2 linked regions of the Pelodiscus sinensis genome follow. The protein of the gene in region 1 interacts with the protein of each later gene in a biochemical or structural test. Links are inferred from orthologs where the notes say so. Each region holds a gene or a part of one and is shown on either strand. Other genes may lie near its edges.

Region 1 (8,030 bases):
TTTACATATATGCCATTGCTTTGATGTGTTCTGTGATACTCTTATAGGAGCTATCCAAAAAATGTTTTGTCCTTGTTTTTTAATATGTTGACTAATTTCACTAAAATCACACTTTGGAAAATATAATTTACTTTAGGGCCTGCATCTTAATAGGTTTTACATAAAACTCCCATGGATTTCAAAGAGACTTTTCCTTACACAATGAGTATAAGACTGGGGTCCTAGAGCAGTACTTATGAAAGCTTTGTTGGAATTAATTTTTGCTTTTTACAAAGGATATAATTATTCCCCTAGAGAAAAACATTTATCTATCTGGAGTTGATTCTGTTAGTTATTTATTCCTTTCATAAAATCATACTTTTAAAATATAAAAAGAAAAATGGGAATTTGTTTCATTATTTCACCATCTTTTGTTCTCTGTTAGATTTTATTGAGTGTCCCTGCACTTTCAGCCTTAGGCTTTACTTTATACTTAAAACTAAGGTACCAGCAAGCACAGTGTCAACATCTCTTATCTTTAAAGTCAAATATTTGACCACCAACTGTAATTTTGGACATTGAGATGTTTGATTTTTAACATGAATCGTTGATGATTGGCTTTCATATTTAAAAGTGATTAGACGAGCATTCTAATTCTAAATTGAACCCATTATCACTTTCAAAAAAGTGTAGCCCCTCATCAAATGAAACTCATAGAGCACTCATCTGAGGTTCATGGTATTTAATATGGATGTATGACTTATGGACACTAGAAGTCCAGCATACAATACTCCATCTCCAGGTTTCATCAAAATTGCAATGGAATGATAATGTATATAGTCATACCTATTCAATGGTATAACATAGAGCTTATACTGCTATTAGTGATTCTCCTTTAGGTACAGTGCCAGAAGGATTATAGTTCAATTTCTGTTGCCACAATGAAGTTCTAGGTGGCCATGGGGTGAAACATAGTGACAACCAGTAAGCCCTAAATGATTATTATTTTACAGTATTAAATGTAAGGGTGCGGTCTGCACCATTTTATGTGCATTGGGTCTATGCCTCTTGCTCCTTGTCCCAAAGTAACTTTGAGTTGATCTTGTTTTGAAACTACGGTTCCGATTTGGTCTTAAAATTGCAGGCACCCAATCTGTACATTCGGTGGTTTCAGTGCCACACGTGATGAGTGCTAAAACTGGATACAGTGAACTGGGACCTATAATTACATATTTAAAATAGAATGTTGGCCCTGTCAGCATTTTACTCAAATCCAGACAAGTTTAGTCCAAAAGGATATACAATCTACAGCAGACAAATAGAACTCAGATTGGACCATGGCATCCAATTAGGGGCCTAGTGAGCTGCATTCAAAGTGTGGCAACTTTCAGGTCCTTTGCATAAACCCATCCACATGTGCTTGTGAAAGAAAGCAACTAGCTGCCTAAAACTAGAAGAAAGACTATGTAGAGAAAGTAGAAAGCACTGCAGGAGTAAATAAGGATTTGCCACTGAAACCCACAAAAGCAATTAAGAAAACAGACTCTCAGCAGCTTGGCCCTTTCAATTCAGTTAATGCAGTCTTCCCCGCTGCACTGGAATCCATCCATTTTCAGCTACTCTAGCGGCATTAGATGACTCTAAGCTCAGTGCTTTGAACTACAAGGCAGCTCATGATCTTGTGCTGGTAGGTTTCATATCTTCCTTGGAGGTTCCTGAGGCAGGCCAGGCCCACTAATGATTCCTTCACCTCTGAGAACCTCATCTCTGGGACTGGGAAAATAAGGAGTTTATCGGCAGGAGGAGGAAGAATTTTCATGAGAGGTAAGCGCTGATTCAGCACAATAAACTTCTAAAAACCCTAATGATGTGAAATAGAGGCTGAGCTCTGCCCAGCTGAATTTCAAGATTACTGCCATTTACATATGATGTAACAAAAAAGTACTTTTTCTTGGGGCTACTTATTTTCCCTTCCCCACCATTGGAGCCACCTGCCACCAGGGCCACCTGTGGCCACCAGTAGAGACACATGGGCTATCACATTCTTGTCCTTCCTTTGTCCATCAGACGGATCTGCCCATCTCAACCCCCTCCCCAGGCACTAATCCCAACACTCAGGCATTTATCCCCTCCCCCACCAAAAAATCTCATCCCAGACTCCCCCGGGATGGGGGTTAGAGACTCACCCAGATTCACGAAGCTCATCACCATGTCTGCTTCCGTGAGGAAGTTGCTGTCCTGCAGGCTGGCCAGGGGTGGCCCCTGGGTGCTGAAGATGGGCTTGTAAGGGTAGGAGAATCCCTCTCCCTCCTCCCCGGCTGCTCCTGCCGTCTCCTCCTCCACCGACATGGCATTGTAGAGATCCAGCATGAACATGGGGGCAGAGTTCTGCTTGCCGTGCAGATGGGGCCGGGGCCGGTGGGGCAAGCCCAGGATGGAGAGGATCTCCCGCTGAATCTCCCGGCGCTCCTGGCTCCGCAGCCTCCGGTGGATGAAACTCGAGTGCACCTCATTGTCCAAGGTGAAATCGGCCAGGATGCAGCGCAGCCACAGGCAGGGAGCAGCAGCCCACAGGACCAGCAGCCAGGAGGCAGCCTGCCTGAACCACCCCACATGCATCTCTCTCTCCTCTCCTCCTTCACGCAGCTCCCTGTGGAGGGGAGAGAAAGAGCCCCCGTGGGCTGGAGAGCAGGGCTAAATACTTTACCATGAAAGACAGCTGGGGAGGGGAAATGCCTGCCCCACAAAGTTCTGCTCACTGGGTTAGAGGACTCCTCGGGAGATCCAGCGGCAGTGCACTCATGATAAAAGTCTGGCGGGGGGGAGAGGGGGGTCTAGTTTGTAAAATCCATAGGATAGGAGAGAGAAAATCTTGAGTGCTGCTTTTCACCCTCTTCCTTCAGAGTCTGAGCTCGCTCTTTTTCTTTCTCTTCACTCCTCACAAGCCAAGCCTAAGCACTGTTTGAAATGCTGCTTTGCAGACAGCACTGGCAGCAGGAGGTTGTATCTTGTGGGAGGAGCAGGCAGCAAAACTCAACACATTCTCTCTCTCTCTCTCTCTGCCTCTTCCCCCCCCCCCCCCCCCTTCTTTCTCCAAACTGCTTAGAAAAGAAAATCCATGTTCCTGCCTAGAGGAGGAACATCTGATCAGGTTGCTTTTCAGGATGTTATGGAAGCGGCTGGATTGGTAGAAAGAGTGAGCCATTTCCAAGTAGTTGCATTCTATCTGAAGAAGTGGGTCTGCCCCACGAAAACTCATCACTTAATGAATTATTTGGTCAGTCTTTAAAGTGCGACATGACAGCTTTTTTGTTTTATCATGTAAACATGGTTAAGGAAAAAGCACCCAAGAGAGAAGGGGAGGTTTAGGGGAGGGGGCAGTTCTTTGAGAGAAATATATATTCACATACTGTCCAGAGGGGAAAACCAATCAATGAATAGATTTACAATTTCATGATATAAATAGGATAGTCATTGAAACTAGGGTCACTTTTTCCAAGGGCAGCTGTGGAATAGAGGGGAGGGGGCAAATAAGAGGGGGTTAGTAAGGAAGTGTCAGGGAAGACTGGGGTGATAGAAGAAACTTTAAAATACTATCAATAACATTTACCTGGATCTGGCCCCCAAGGCTCAGGGATCCCTCCACATTGGGGAGCCCGTGCTAATGCTCCAGCCCCTCTGCAACCCATCCACAGGCCTGGAGCATACAAAACTTAGTCGCTTGGGTGCCCCCGGCTCTGGTGTTCAAGGGAAATGTGGGAGTGTCTTTTTCCTTCTCCATCAGGGGCTTCTCACTTTGCTTCTCACTTGTGTGTGGCCTCCAACTGATTTTTCTGTGGGTCAGCGGCCCCCAACTCAAGAAAGGTTCCCCGCCCCTTAGTACAATGGGGCCCATGGCTGGGCTTTTTGGAATCTATGATGATATAAAAAATAAGAAGAGTTACTCACCAACTTTAACTACAGCTTCCCAACAGTTCTTTGAAAAGAGAGGAGTGAAAATAATTCACATTAGGTGCTGACTTTCTAATTGAATCTTGGGAAGAAAGGGGGACTGAAGAAAGTGGGTCAGTCACACTAATCTTGACAGTCCCATGTCTTTGATGTTTCCTGATGAGTCTATTATATGCCAAAGTCTCAACACCTGATCTTGCATACCTTCTGCACCCACAAACATTCAGCACTTACATCACTCTGTGAATTTAAAACATTATATAACCAATAACTAGCTATTCATCTCGAAACCTATGGGAAGGAGGTAGACTGAATAAAAGGGGAAACTGAGGCATATAGTCAATTTCCTTATGGCTACCCATTGAGTAAGTGATACAGCCAGAAAACTCCTAACCATGCCCTGTTCTCATTCCTCTTACCCATAATGCTTCTCAAAACTCGTAACTCAGGGTGGAGGTTGGGTGCCCATTGGAGGCAACAAGAATGAGTTCTCAGAATCTTGTATACAAGCACTACTAGCCAGCTGTAAAGCCGGGGGAAGGAGTGGGTAGTTTACATAAAGCTTGTCTCTTGTTTCTGATCTTCAGAGTCCCTTCATTTTGGCTTAACTGTGATTTCAGTTGCCTGAAGTTCTATACACAACACTACTTTTTGTGTGTGTTACGCCTTTTATAGAAATCTTGGGCTTGATCCTGAGAAGTGCTGGTACCCGCATTACCTCTGAGAATCAGGCCCTTTCTGTGTGTGAAAATGCTTGTCAAGGGTATAACTAAGAGAAATTTGGCAGGTTTTTGTTTTGTTTTGTTTTACTTTGTTGCCTTTGTACATTTACAGCACCACGTCACTTCCACTGTTCCTCTTATATGGCCAGTTGGTTCCCATGTTATTTGTTTGTGGGTTTTTCACTCAGCACAGGAGAAAGGAAAACATCTTAAAAATGATAGTCAAACATCAGAATTGGCAAAGGGGATTCAAGAATGGGTGTGGTATCTGAAACTACTTGTAGCTCACTTAGTTTTCAAGTTGACAGTGTCCCTTTAATTTTGCCTGTTTGGGGAAGAAAAGTAGTTGTATAAGATTTGAATTCCAGTTTATCAGGAAACTGGTTGCTAAGACTTAGTTTATCATTTTTATGGGAGATGAAATTTTAGACTTGATGAGCTTTTCTGGTTGCCTAAGAGGTTATTTATATCTCTTTGTTCTCTATTTAAGTTTTCCTATAATTTTAAGTTGGTTTAAGTTGCCTATTTTGACTGTGAGCAAGTGCATCAGTTTAATATTGGCTATGTCCTTTCTTGAGAGGCAGGGAATATGCAGCACTTGTTTGGGAACAAACCAGATATTGTAAAGATTTCATTCATTAAATTATATAATTGTATTGCTTTCTTCTATGGTCTTATTCTTCATTTCCTGCCTAAATTGAAAAGGAAGATGCATGGTGTGACAGACATTGAGAATGAAGTAGAGAGATGACATTGTGAACAAGCAATTGGGTTTTTATGAAAGGGGGTTATGATAAGAATCAATGAGCCAAACTCTTTCTTTGAAGCAGCTGTGCAGGTAATTCCTCCACACTTTTTCCCTCCCTCATAAAATGTCTGGTTTGTGGTTGTAAGCTAGTAAGTGCAATAGGAAATAGATGCATGCCAGATTTATATGCATATGCCACTGCTTCTCTACCTATAACAAATGATACTAAGGGGATTCTTTATGAGTGTGGGTTAAGAAAGGGAAGCTATTAGAGAATTCTTCTCACATCACAAGTTTATCCCCCATTGATGTCAGTGGAGTTATGGGTTTTAAACAAGAGCAGAATCTCTCCCAGTATGTGCAGAAAAAAGGATAATTCTATAAGGACTGAAATGGGCTCAAGCTTTATTATTAGGATCCAGTTTTGGGTTTGAAATACTCACCAATCTATATAGGTTATATAGTCTGTACTATCATTGGTATAAAAACAAGTGGTCCTGTGGCACCTTAAAGACTAACAAAAATATATAGAACCATGAGCTTTCATGGGTAACACCTACTTCATCAGATAAGTTGCAGTGGGTTTTTACCCATGAAAGCTCATGATTCTATTTTTGTTAATCTCTCATGCCCCAAGACTTGTTTTTAAAGTTACAGACTTACATGGCTACCCCTCTGAGAATTTTATCATTAGGATAGATTTCATCCTCCTCCCTCTCCCTCTCCCCCTCCCATATGTATTGCATGCTATTTAAACTCATTTCATCTGTTCCCTGCAAGTTCAGCTCCTAAGCACTGCAGACATATTGCTAGAAATATAGGCAGCCCATGTCATCATCCTCTTTCTCCTCCTCCTTCCCAGATCAATTAAGAAACCAGTTTTTCCTCTTACTGTTCTCCTCTTCTCTAGACTCTCTTTCTCCTACTCCTTGTTAGTGAGGGAGAGCTAAATGCTTGTGATGAAGCAATGCCTGCATGTTGACAGTTGTTGTTTTAGATAATTTCTTTAGATAACAAAATTCCAACCAATTGCCTCTTTCTTGAGGTTTACATGTAGGCTAAAATACTAGATTAGCTACTTTTTGGTGTCTTAATGAATTGAACCCTTTTATCTGTTTTGTGTATTACCTACTGATCTTTTTGTTGGTGCAGGCAACTGCACATTCCTGATTAGTGGAAGAGACAACTTTAAAAATAAAAGGGCCTTTTTAATGAACCCTCCTTCCCCCCCCCCCAATATAGGCACACAAATACATGTGCAATTGCATGTATTATTGCCGAGATCATAAATATAAATTAAGCAGAGATCTGCCAATGGCTAATTCTGGTTATTTCCATGCAAATTTCTCCTCAGTAACTACAAACAGATTAGGAAAGTAGTTTCACGCCTAACTTGTTTTAAAATCAGGCCCAAAATATATTATTTTCCTTTCTCCTTTTTTTTCTACATCAAGTTCAACCTTTTCATTCTTACAGCTCAGTGCCCTCTTCCACTATTTCTATTTCTTACCCATTTTGAGTTTTGCACTTTTCGATTGCCATTTCTAATGCCTGGAACAAAATCCTCTTTCTGAACACTGCTGAGCATCTTTTACTTCTTCCTCCAAATGCTTCTACTAAAATAAATGTCTTTTAGGAATCTTGTCAATGCTGATTGTATCATCAGGGTCCTTTGGATTGTTTCCATTTCCTGCCGCCCCCATCCCCTGTACCTGTGACTCAAATTCTAACAATAAGAAAAACAGTATTATTTTATAAGATTACATATACAGCTTGCATATTGCATTACACCACATTGGATTATACTTATCAAAGTTTCTATTCATTCCTCTTAACACCATTATCACAAATGTATTCCTTAACATGAAAGTAATCACATTATGGATAAGCTACATGTTAGCACTGTTCCAAGAATTTGAACTAATCTGGGTCTGGACTGTGCTAATCACATTATATTAATTAAACCATAGCTCTGGTTGCCCTGGTTTACTGATCAGAGAAGACACAGTGATGGAAGCTGTGCACACAGATTTGAAGGGAACTGTTACTCCTGTGGGGAAGCCTTGACTAAATAGTTTTGGAACAGTAGGGACCTTTGAATTCTAAAATTTAAATGGTATCATGGGAATGAATCCTGAGAAATGCTGAGTGCTTGAATAAGACAACTAAATTTTAATTGTAAATGTATAAGAATATAAGAATGGCCATACTGAGTCAGATCAAAGGTCCATCTAGCCCAGTATCCTGTCTGTTGACAGTGGTCAATGTCAGATGCCCCAGAGGAAGTGAACAAACAGGTAATCATCACGTGATCCCTCTCCTGTCATCCATTTCCAGACAAACAGAGGCTAAGGATGCTGTTCCTACCCATCCCAGCTAATAATCATTAATGGACCTAACCTCCATGAATGTATCTAGCTCTTTTTTGTCCTAGTCTTCACAACGTCCTGTGGCAAGGAGTTCTGCAGATTGACATATAAAATTGGTCTAGATCACCACAGATTTCACTAGAGTCACTGTTGATTGACACCAGACACTAGATCAATGGTGGACAACCTGCAGCCTGTCAAGGTTCTGTATGTGGCTCACAAGACATTTTGTTTACTATTGCCCATGCTCAGAGTTGCCAG
Region 2 (7,864 bases), on another chromosome or scaffold:
TTTTACTAGGGCAATTAAAAATATATATATATATACCTCTTCTCATCTGCCATGGACAAGAACAAGATCTTACCACAACTCAGAACAATTCTGACTCAATACCTGCACCCACTACCCCCCAAAAAACCTATGAAAAATAACAATCAGAAAGCCTAAACCCAGCAGAAAATTGTTTAAGAATAGTTGGTTTTGTATCCACACAAACTGGAAGAAAAAGAACCACTAAGATAATATCAGAATTAGGGATGTTAGATATCGTGTAAATGAACAGTTGTGTAACTGCATGAAATGTTTGTGGTTACACGACTATTTGATAATCCCCAGGGGCAGCGCCATCAGCCAGTGTGCACCCAGCCTCACTCCCAGGGACCACCTGCCACCCCTCATTGCTGCCTCTCTAAGAGAAAGCCATTTAAAAAACAGCTCACCATGCAGACTGGCTGCCTGCCACCCTGTGCTGCTGCCTCTGTGTCTGCAGGAGTCCAAGCTCCCTATGGACAGAGGCTGCTGTAGGGCAGGGGGAGGGGGAGAAGAAGGGGAGGCTGCTGCAAAGCAGCCTCTGTCCACTGTGGCCCAGAATGGCCACAGACAGAGGCTAGCCCAGCAGTAGCCAGACTGCAGGGAGCTCAGACCCCCGCAGACAGGAGCTACCACCGAGGACCTTGGATCCTCTGCAGAGGCTGCTTCGTGGGAGCTTCCTCTGTCCCCTCCCTGGCTGCTGCCCCTGACCGAGGCAGCAATGTGGAAAGGAAGGGGAGGGCAGTTGGCACTGCGGAGCCAGTGCTTTTAAGCAGTTTCCCCCTAGCACTGGCTCCTTCTTCCCCTCCTTGCTGCCTCTGATACAGCAAGGGGGGGGGGGGGATACATATAGTCTACAAGATTAATCAATAAGCCAACACTTATCGGTTAATTGTATAATCGACTACCCATAACATCCCTAATCAGCATACATACATTTTTATTCTCTTCATTCCAGAATACTGGAACTAAGGAAAAAACACATGCCCCTTAAAAGTTTTACTCCAGTCAATATTTGTGACTAATATCAGAGGGGATGGAAGTCTGTATCTGCAAAAACAAGGAGTTCTGTAGCATTGTAAAAACAGATTTATTTGGGCATAAGCTTTCATGGGTAAAAAATTCCACCTTGTTAGATGCATGATGTATTTTTGTGGTTCATGTAACTATATCTGCAGAAGATTAGAATTTCATTATATATGGGGCTTTTATTATTGAAAATCATTTGAAATATCTTTGAGATAAAATTTAAAAATACTTGACTGAATTTCATCGGTTAAAATATAATCTAAAAATTACACAAGGTTGGGGAGTTAAGTCTTCTTTCATAAACACTGAAGAGGGTAAGTTTTCCTTTTGAAAGTTATAGGAACCTAGCTGTATTAAATACATTAATTTTCTATGTTGAACGAAGATCAAACAGCACCTACTAAGATATACATCCACAGATGCAGGTACTTGCTCTTATTGAGTATTTACGAAAACTCAATCCCTACTGCAGACTTTAAGTATTTGTAGTATAAAATATGCATCTGATAAACTATGTCAAAAATGTTACCTTGATAAAAAAAGATGAATATCTTTCCACCAAATTTTAATCATAGATTTTGAGGTGCAACATACAGTACTTTGATCATTAACTATATTTATAAATAGCTGGATGTGCAGCAGCACTGTTGTGCAATGCTACAGCCAATGACAGCTCTTATCACATATAAGTTTCTTTCGGTGAAATGTTATCAGCTTAAATATGTATTCTCAAAACAGACTTTTCATCCTCTACAAGAAATTAATATAATAAAATGATCAACTTCTCATGTGCAGACAGGTGAACCTGCTGGATTTAGATTCTGCAATACTGCTTCTCCCTGCAGAATCTACTCTAAATCCTGCACATTTTAACGATTCTGGGGCTCTATTGTTTAGCCAAACCCTTTCTTCTAGACGTCGTAGTCAGTTACACAAATGTGCATCCTAAAACCTAACAAGCCCTTTCTCCGAAATAAAGAAACTATTCAATACTTTACTATTTAACTGTTGAATTACTACGGGCTTAACAGAAACGGTGGAACACAACTTCGCTCAAAGCCACCTCTCGCACCCAGAAATTCAAGGCCCCTCACTAAGCAGCGTCAGTGACTACACGGTTACTCCTCTTGCACCACTATAGCTCGCGTAACACCCAGCCTGAAACTGCAACACAAAATGGGGGGTGGGGAGAAGGCGTCGTCGCAGAGAAACATTTAAAGCTCCAGTCTCAAAAGTGGCCTCTCGCCGGCCGCCTCCTGTGCCCCGGCAGAGACCCACCGACTCGCAGGGACCCTGCGTCACGGCAAGGGCCCACCCACACTGCGCACACTTGCCGCACTGGGGCCTGCCCGCCGAGCGGCGCCAGCCCCCCGCGAGCGGGGCAGCCGGGGCGAGGGGGACGTTGCTGTTGGGAGTCACGTCAGGCCGCGCCGCGCTGCCCCGCACAAGGACGGGACGGGACGGGGGGCACCCCGGCTGCGGCGGCGCAAGCAGGGCCCGCCCCGCGGCGCACTCCCGCTGGGACGGGCCCGGCCACAGCTGGCGCCCGGCGCGCGCGGCCCTCACCGCGGAACGTGCCCCCCAGGGCAGCCCGCGGGCACGTTCCCCGACAGCCACGGGCCGCCGCGGCACAACGGGCCCCGCGAACGCGCTGGGCCTCCGTCTCGCCGGACACCCCGGCCGCACTCACCCGCCGCGAGGGTCCGTCATGCTCCCGGCTGCGCTCGCTCCGTGTCACCCTCCGAGCGGCTCCGGCCTCCCCCGGCCGGGCGGGGGGCGCGGCGCAAACTCCGACAGCGGCCCGAGCCCTCGGCCTGCGCGAGCGGGACTCCAATCACGGCAGCCAACGGCCCCAGCCAGCACCGCGGGGGCGGAGCGCGCAACCGCCGCTGCCAGACGGGCTCGCTGGAGCTCGCGCCCTCGGGACACCGCCGCCCTCGCGCGCCGCCAGCCTCCGAGTCGCGGCTCCAGTGCCTCGCTCCGACGGCATCCGAGCGGCGGCGGAGATTGCCGAAGCCTGCCTGCCCGCCCCCTGACACGCGAGCGCTGCGAGAGCGCCCGCGCCCCTCCCCCAAGCTCTGGGAGCCCGCCAGCTCCTACCCCCAGCGCGAGCCGAGCGTTCGGAGATCTACCCCCCCCCCCCCCCCAGTGCTGGGCACCCACCTCTCCCCCAGTGCTGGGCGATCGCCAACTCTCCGCCAAACCCCAGTGCTGGGAGATCACACACACCCCCTCACCAGTGCCCCCTCGAACCCTAGCACCGGGAGATCAACTCCCCCCCCCCCAAACCCCAGCGCTGGGAGATCACCAATCCCCCCTCCCCAGTGCTTAGAGATCACCACCACCCAAACCCCAGTGCTTGGAGATCACCAATCCCCCCTCCCCAATGCTTGGAGATCACCACCACCCAAACCCCAGTGCTTGGAGATCACCACCACCCAAACCCCAGCGCTGGGAGATCACCAATCCCCCCTCCCCAATGCTTGGAGATCACCACCACCCAAACCCCAGTGCTTGGAGATCACCACCACCCAAACCCCAGTGCTGGGAGATCACACACACCCCCTCCCTGGTTCTGGGAGACCACCAACCCTCCCTCGCCAGTGCTGGGAGATCATACACCCCCTTTCCCATTTCTTGGAGATCAACTCCCTGCCCAAACCTGAATGCTAGGAGATCTCCCCCCACTCCACCCCACCCACCCCTAATGCTTGGAGACCACCACCAGTGTTCCGGGAATCTATGCACTTGGGCAGCCACCCAGGAGAGATTCAAACGCTGCCCAGCTGATTAGCAGAGTGCCCATAGCTGGCAATATGGCTACGTTTAGACTGGCATAATTTTCCGCAAATGCTTTTAACGGAAAACTTTTCAGTTAAAAGCATTTGTGGAAAAGAGCATCTAGATTGGCACAGACGCTTTTCCGCAAAAGTGCTTTTGCGGAAAAGCGTCTGTGCCAGTCTAGACTCGCTTTTGCGCAAAAAAGCCCCGATCGCCATTTTAGTCATCGGGGCTTTTTTGTGCTTTTTTTTGTACTGTGCTGTCTACACTGACCCTCTTGCACAAATGATTTGCGCAAGAGGGCTTTTGCCCGAACGGGAGCAGCATAGCATTTCCGCAAGAAGCACTGATTTCTTACAGTAGGAAGTCAGTGTTCTTGCGGAAATTCAAGCGACCAGTGTAGACAGCTGGCAAGTTTTTCCACAAAAGCAGCTGATTTTGCGGAAAAACTTGCCAGTCTAGACACAGCCCATGTGTTTCTACTGGTGGTTCACTTGGGTTTCTCACACTGCCTCTGCCCCCAGTGTTGCCCATTTTCTGGTTTCTGGCCAATAGCAACTTCCTGTTGGCAAGACAGGCAGCAAGTGAAGTGCCCCTCCACCCTCATCCCCTGGGCTCATAGGGTTCACAGCAGCAAACATAGCCCCTGCAGGTGCTCTAAGCACATACAAGAGTGTGGAAGGCAGGGCCCCTGGCTAAGGAACTTGCTGCTGGGCTGCTTGCTTGGGAGTCACTGATGTACGTACGGTTCCCCAGCCAGAACCTGCCTCTGGCACCACAGTTTCTCCATCCCCCAACCCTCTGCCTCCCTCCTACATCCCTACCCCATGTAACCCAAGCTTTCTGCACTCCCCATCCCTCCTCAGGTCACAACCCCTTCCCAGACCTTGCTCCCCAATCTGCTGTCCCTGGTCACAACCCAAATCCTTGCACGCATGCGCACGCACACACACACACCCCCACTCCCTGCACTCCTGCCCCAGGTTACAATCTCCTCCTATACCCTGCACTCCCTCCTCCTACATCCCTCCCCCTGGCCAGATTCATCTCCTGCATCCATACCCCTCCCAGATCCTGCACCCCAATCCCCTATCCCAGGTCCTGACCCAAACTCCTGCACTTCTACCCCAGGTCACACCCAATCCCAAACCCTGCACCCCAGTCTGCTGCCTGAGGTCACAATCCCCTCCTTCACCCAAACTCCCTCCCAGATCCCACACCCCAGTCCCAGAAAAGTGCAGCCCTCGAACACGTACCAAATTCTTGGAGTGGCCCCCCATAAAAAATTATTGCCCACCTCTGCTTTACATAAAGGGACAAGATTCTGGGTGTTTCCACTTCCTCAACCAGCAGCACAAATGGCCCCAGATCCAGACAAGAGGCGAGCCTGGACATACCAAGCCTTCCCTCACAAATACCCTGTGTGGTGCCCCAAACACCTGCCACCACAACCTCCCTCACTCCCAGTTACATGTCATCGGAGTGATGTGTCGGGAGGTGAGAGCAGCACTAGAAAGGCTGGCCAGTGTCTGGCTTCCCTCTGAAGGTGAGGACAATTAGCTTGGAGTTAATGCAGCAGAAAATGGAGTCAATGGAAGATTTCAGAGAGGAGGGGGTGGAGCTCTGAATGTTATATTAGGAATTGTGCTTTAGATGGATTCAAAAGGTCTCGGGAGCAACCATGTATGTTGGCGTAGACAGAAGAGGTGGTTATAGTAGCAAGATGGGAGACTACGGGAACCCAGGCAAGAGTTTTAGCTGTGGGCAAAGGGAAATTTGAATTTTTGAAAGGTTACAAGATAAATAGCAGGATATGATTATAATCTTTGGCTACACCTACTGGCGCATTCTCACACAAAAACTCTTTTGCGGAAGAGTTCTTGTGCAAAAACTCTTCCAGAAGAGAGCGTCTACGCTGGCATGTGCTTTTGCACAAGAGATGTGCTTTTGCGCAAGAGCATCCATGCCAGTGTAGATACTCTCTTGCGCAAGAAAGCTCTGATGGCCATTTTAACCATAGGGCTTTCTTGCGCAAGAAATTCATGTTGCCTGTCTACACTGGCCTCTTCTGGAAGAGCTCTTGTGCAAGAAGGCTTATTCCTGAGCGGGAGCGTCAGAGTTCTGGCTCAAGAAGCCCTGATTTTATACTTTAGAACGTCAGTTTACTTGTGCAAGAACACGCGGCCAGTGTAGACAGGCAGCAAGTTTTTACGCAAGAGTGGCCGCTTTTGCGCGAGATTGCGCTAGTGTAGACACAGCCCTCATGTACAGGATGAAGAGAACAACTTTTATTGCTGCCTAGATAATTCTCCAAATAACTAAGCCAACTGAGATTGTAACTTTCCTCCCTTTCACCTCTTCAGTGAGATGCTTTGCTTACTGATGAACCTGCCAAAGGCCATCCTTTGCATCCCGTTTCTCAGCTTCCTTATTATTAGCAAGGTGCTGTTTGTCTTCGGTCTGTGCTTCCCAGCCCTTGGTAGAGCAGCTCAGAAGGAGCCTTGATGTTGTTGCACATGGTACGTGTAGAGGCACACTGCACCCCTGGATTCCAAGCATCCTATGCCTCACACTCCAGAACTACACCATGTCCACTATGAGCACAGCGTTGTGCACATGCAGAGAAGGGAGAGGATTTGCACCTTAATGCTGCAGAGGAAAGGTGATTAGGAGTATTTAGTTTCGGTTTATGTCAAAAGCTTTATATGCATAGTCTACTGCAGTGGAAAACTAATATTGCCCCGACCTATTCAGTTTCACTTTGCAACTGAACAGAGTGCTTCTTAGGACAGAACATTTGCTGCTGGCAAGATGAATGCCTCCCTAGACAAACTCTTTCCAGCAAGCAACTGATTGGAAAGTGTGGTGAAAACACTTATGGGCGGCAGATGGCCGCACACAAACTCTTTGTGGGAAACACTGGCATGCAGGGGGAGGTGTTCACTGTCTAGCTGTTTCATTTTTTTGGTATTAGAATTTACATATCTTCTGCACTCCAGCTTGAAACTTACTAGCTGTGGATCTGAAATAATAGTGCAGGCTTTGCAATACAGTTCATGTATATTTTAAACCCGGATTGAATCATAGAGGTATAGTGAGTTCTTGTATTATGTTGACGTGGTCTAGAAAGCAAAGAAGAGGGTATCATTTCAAACCTATTGCCTTTGCAGTCTTTTTTTCACAGGAACACAATGAAATGGGCACTTTTAAAAATGTGCAAGGGTGACTAAATAAGCTCATTAGAAACACGAAATTTTGTTTAATTCGGTTTTCAGAAACATCTTTGCTTTTTTTCCCTGTGCCAGAAAAAAAATACAGCATCCAAAATGATAGCAACTTACAGAACAGGCAAAATCACAGCTTCTACACTGGGTAGTGTAGAATGCAGAGAAACCCAGAAATCACTGAAGTAGGCATACTGTTCTTCCACTCTACCTATCTGCTCAGAACAAAACGGACCATAGAGAGGAATCCATACTCATGACCCAAAGCAAAACTGCTAAATCCAATTTTAAGGGAGCACGTTTAACAATACTTCTTTAAAATAATCTTACAAGATAATGTGATACAGTACTGAGCCTTCCATTAATGGGTTAATGATTAAATCCTATATAGGTTCCTAACGACCAAAAGCTGCTAACATTGAACACGTTTGATGCTGCATGTGAAATGTATATCTGGTTTTCATCCAGTTCTTGATGGGCAGATTTATACACCACACAAATTGTATCTTTTAGGGCGGTCATTGGAATAGTCATCCATTAAAAGAGTCTCTCCTGGTCAGGACCCAGGCATGTGTTGTATTGTGAATGAAGTTTGCATTGCTAGTGCCCATATCATACCTGCTCTCTGGATAGATGGCTCAGATACTGCTCACTGAGGCAGGCTCCCAAAGCAGAAACATATGGGCACCCTACACGTGGTCCTTAAGGGATGTGAGAACCTCTGTTGAAATATAGTTGGGCCAACTTCAATGGACAGCTACACTGACGCGATTAAGGGAGCTGAATGTTCAGTTTTTCAATAAATTTAGAGT

What was found. The genes of interacting proteins can lie anywhere in the genome.
Region 2: the proteins of BMP7 (region 1) and BMPR1A form a complex in vitro, tested with the Homo sapiens proteins (2 studies listed by BioGRID). The link is inferred for Pelodiscus sinensis from reciprocal best matches to the Homo sapiens genes BMP7 and BMPR1A.

Annotation. Positions count from the first base shown.
Region 1 is NC_134728.1:14,405,749-14,413,778, reverse strand, and holds the start of BMP7 (bone morphogenetic protein 7), read right to left. Parts: upstream 3,012-8,030; 5' UTR 2,599-3,011; coding exon 2,166-2,598; intron 1,804-2,165; exon of another isoform or gene 1,671-1,803; intron 1-1,670. UniProt on the Homo sapiens protein: Growth factor of the TGF-beta superfamily that plays important role in various biological processes, including embryogenesis, hematopoiesis, neurogenesis and skeletal morphogenesis.
Region 2 is NC_134718.1:18,369,917-18,377,780, forward strand, and holds the start of BMPR1A (bone morphogenetic protein receptor type-1A), read right to left. Parts: upstream 3,026-7,864; 5' UTR 2,738-3,025; intron 1-2,737. UniProt on the Homo sapiens protein: On ligand binding, forms a receptor complex consisting of two type II and two type I transmembrane serine/threonine kinases.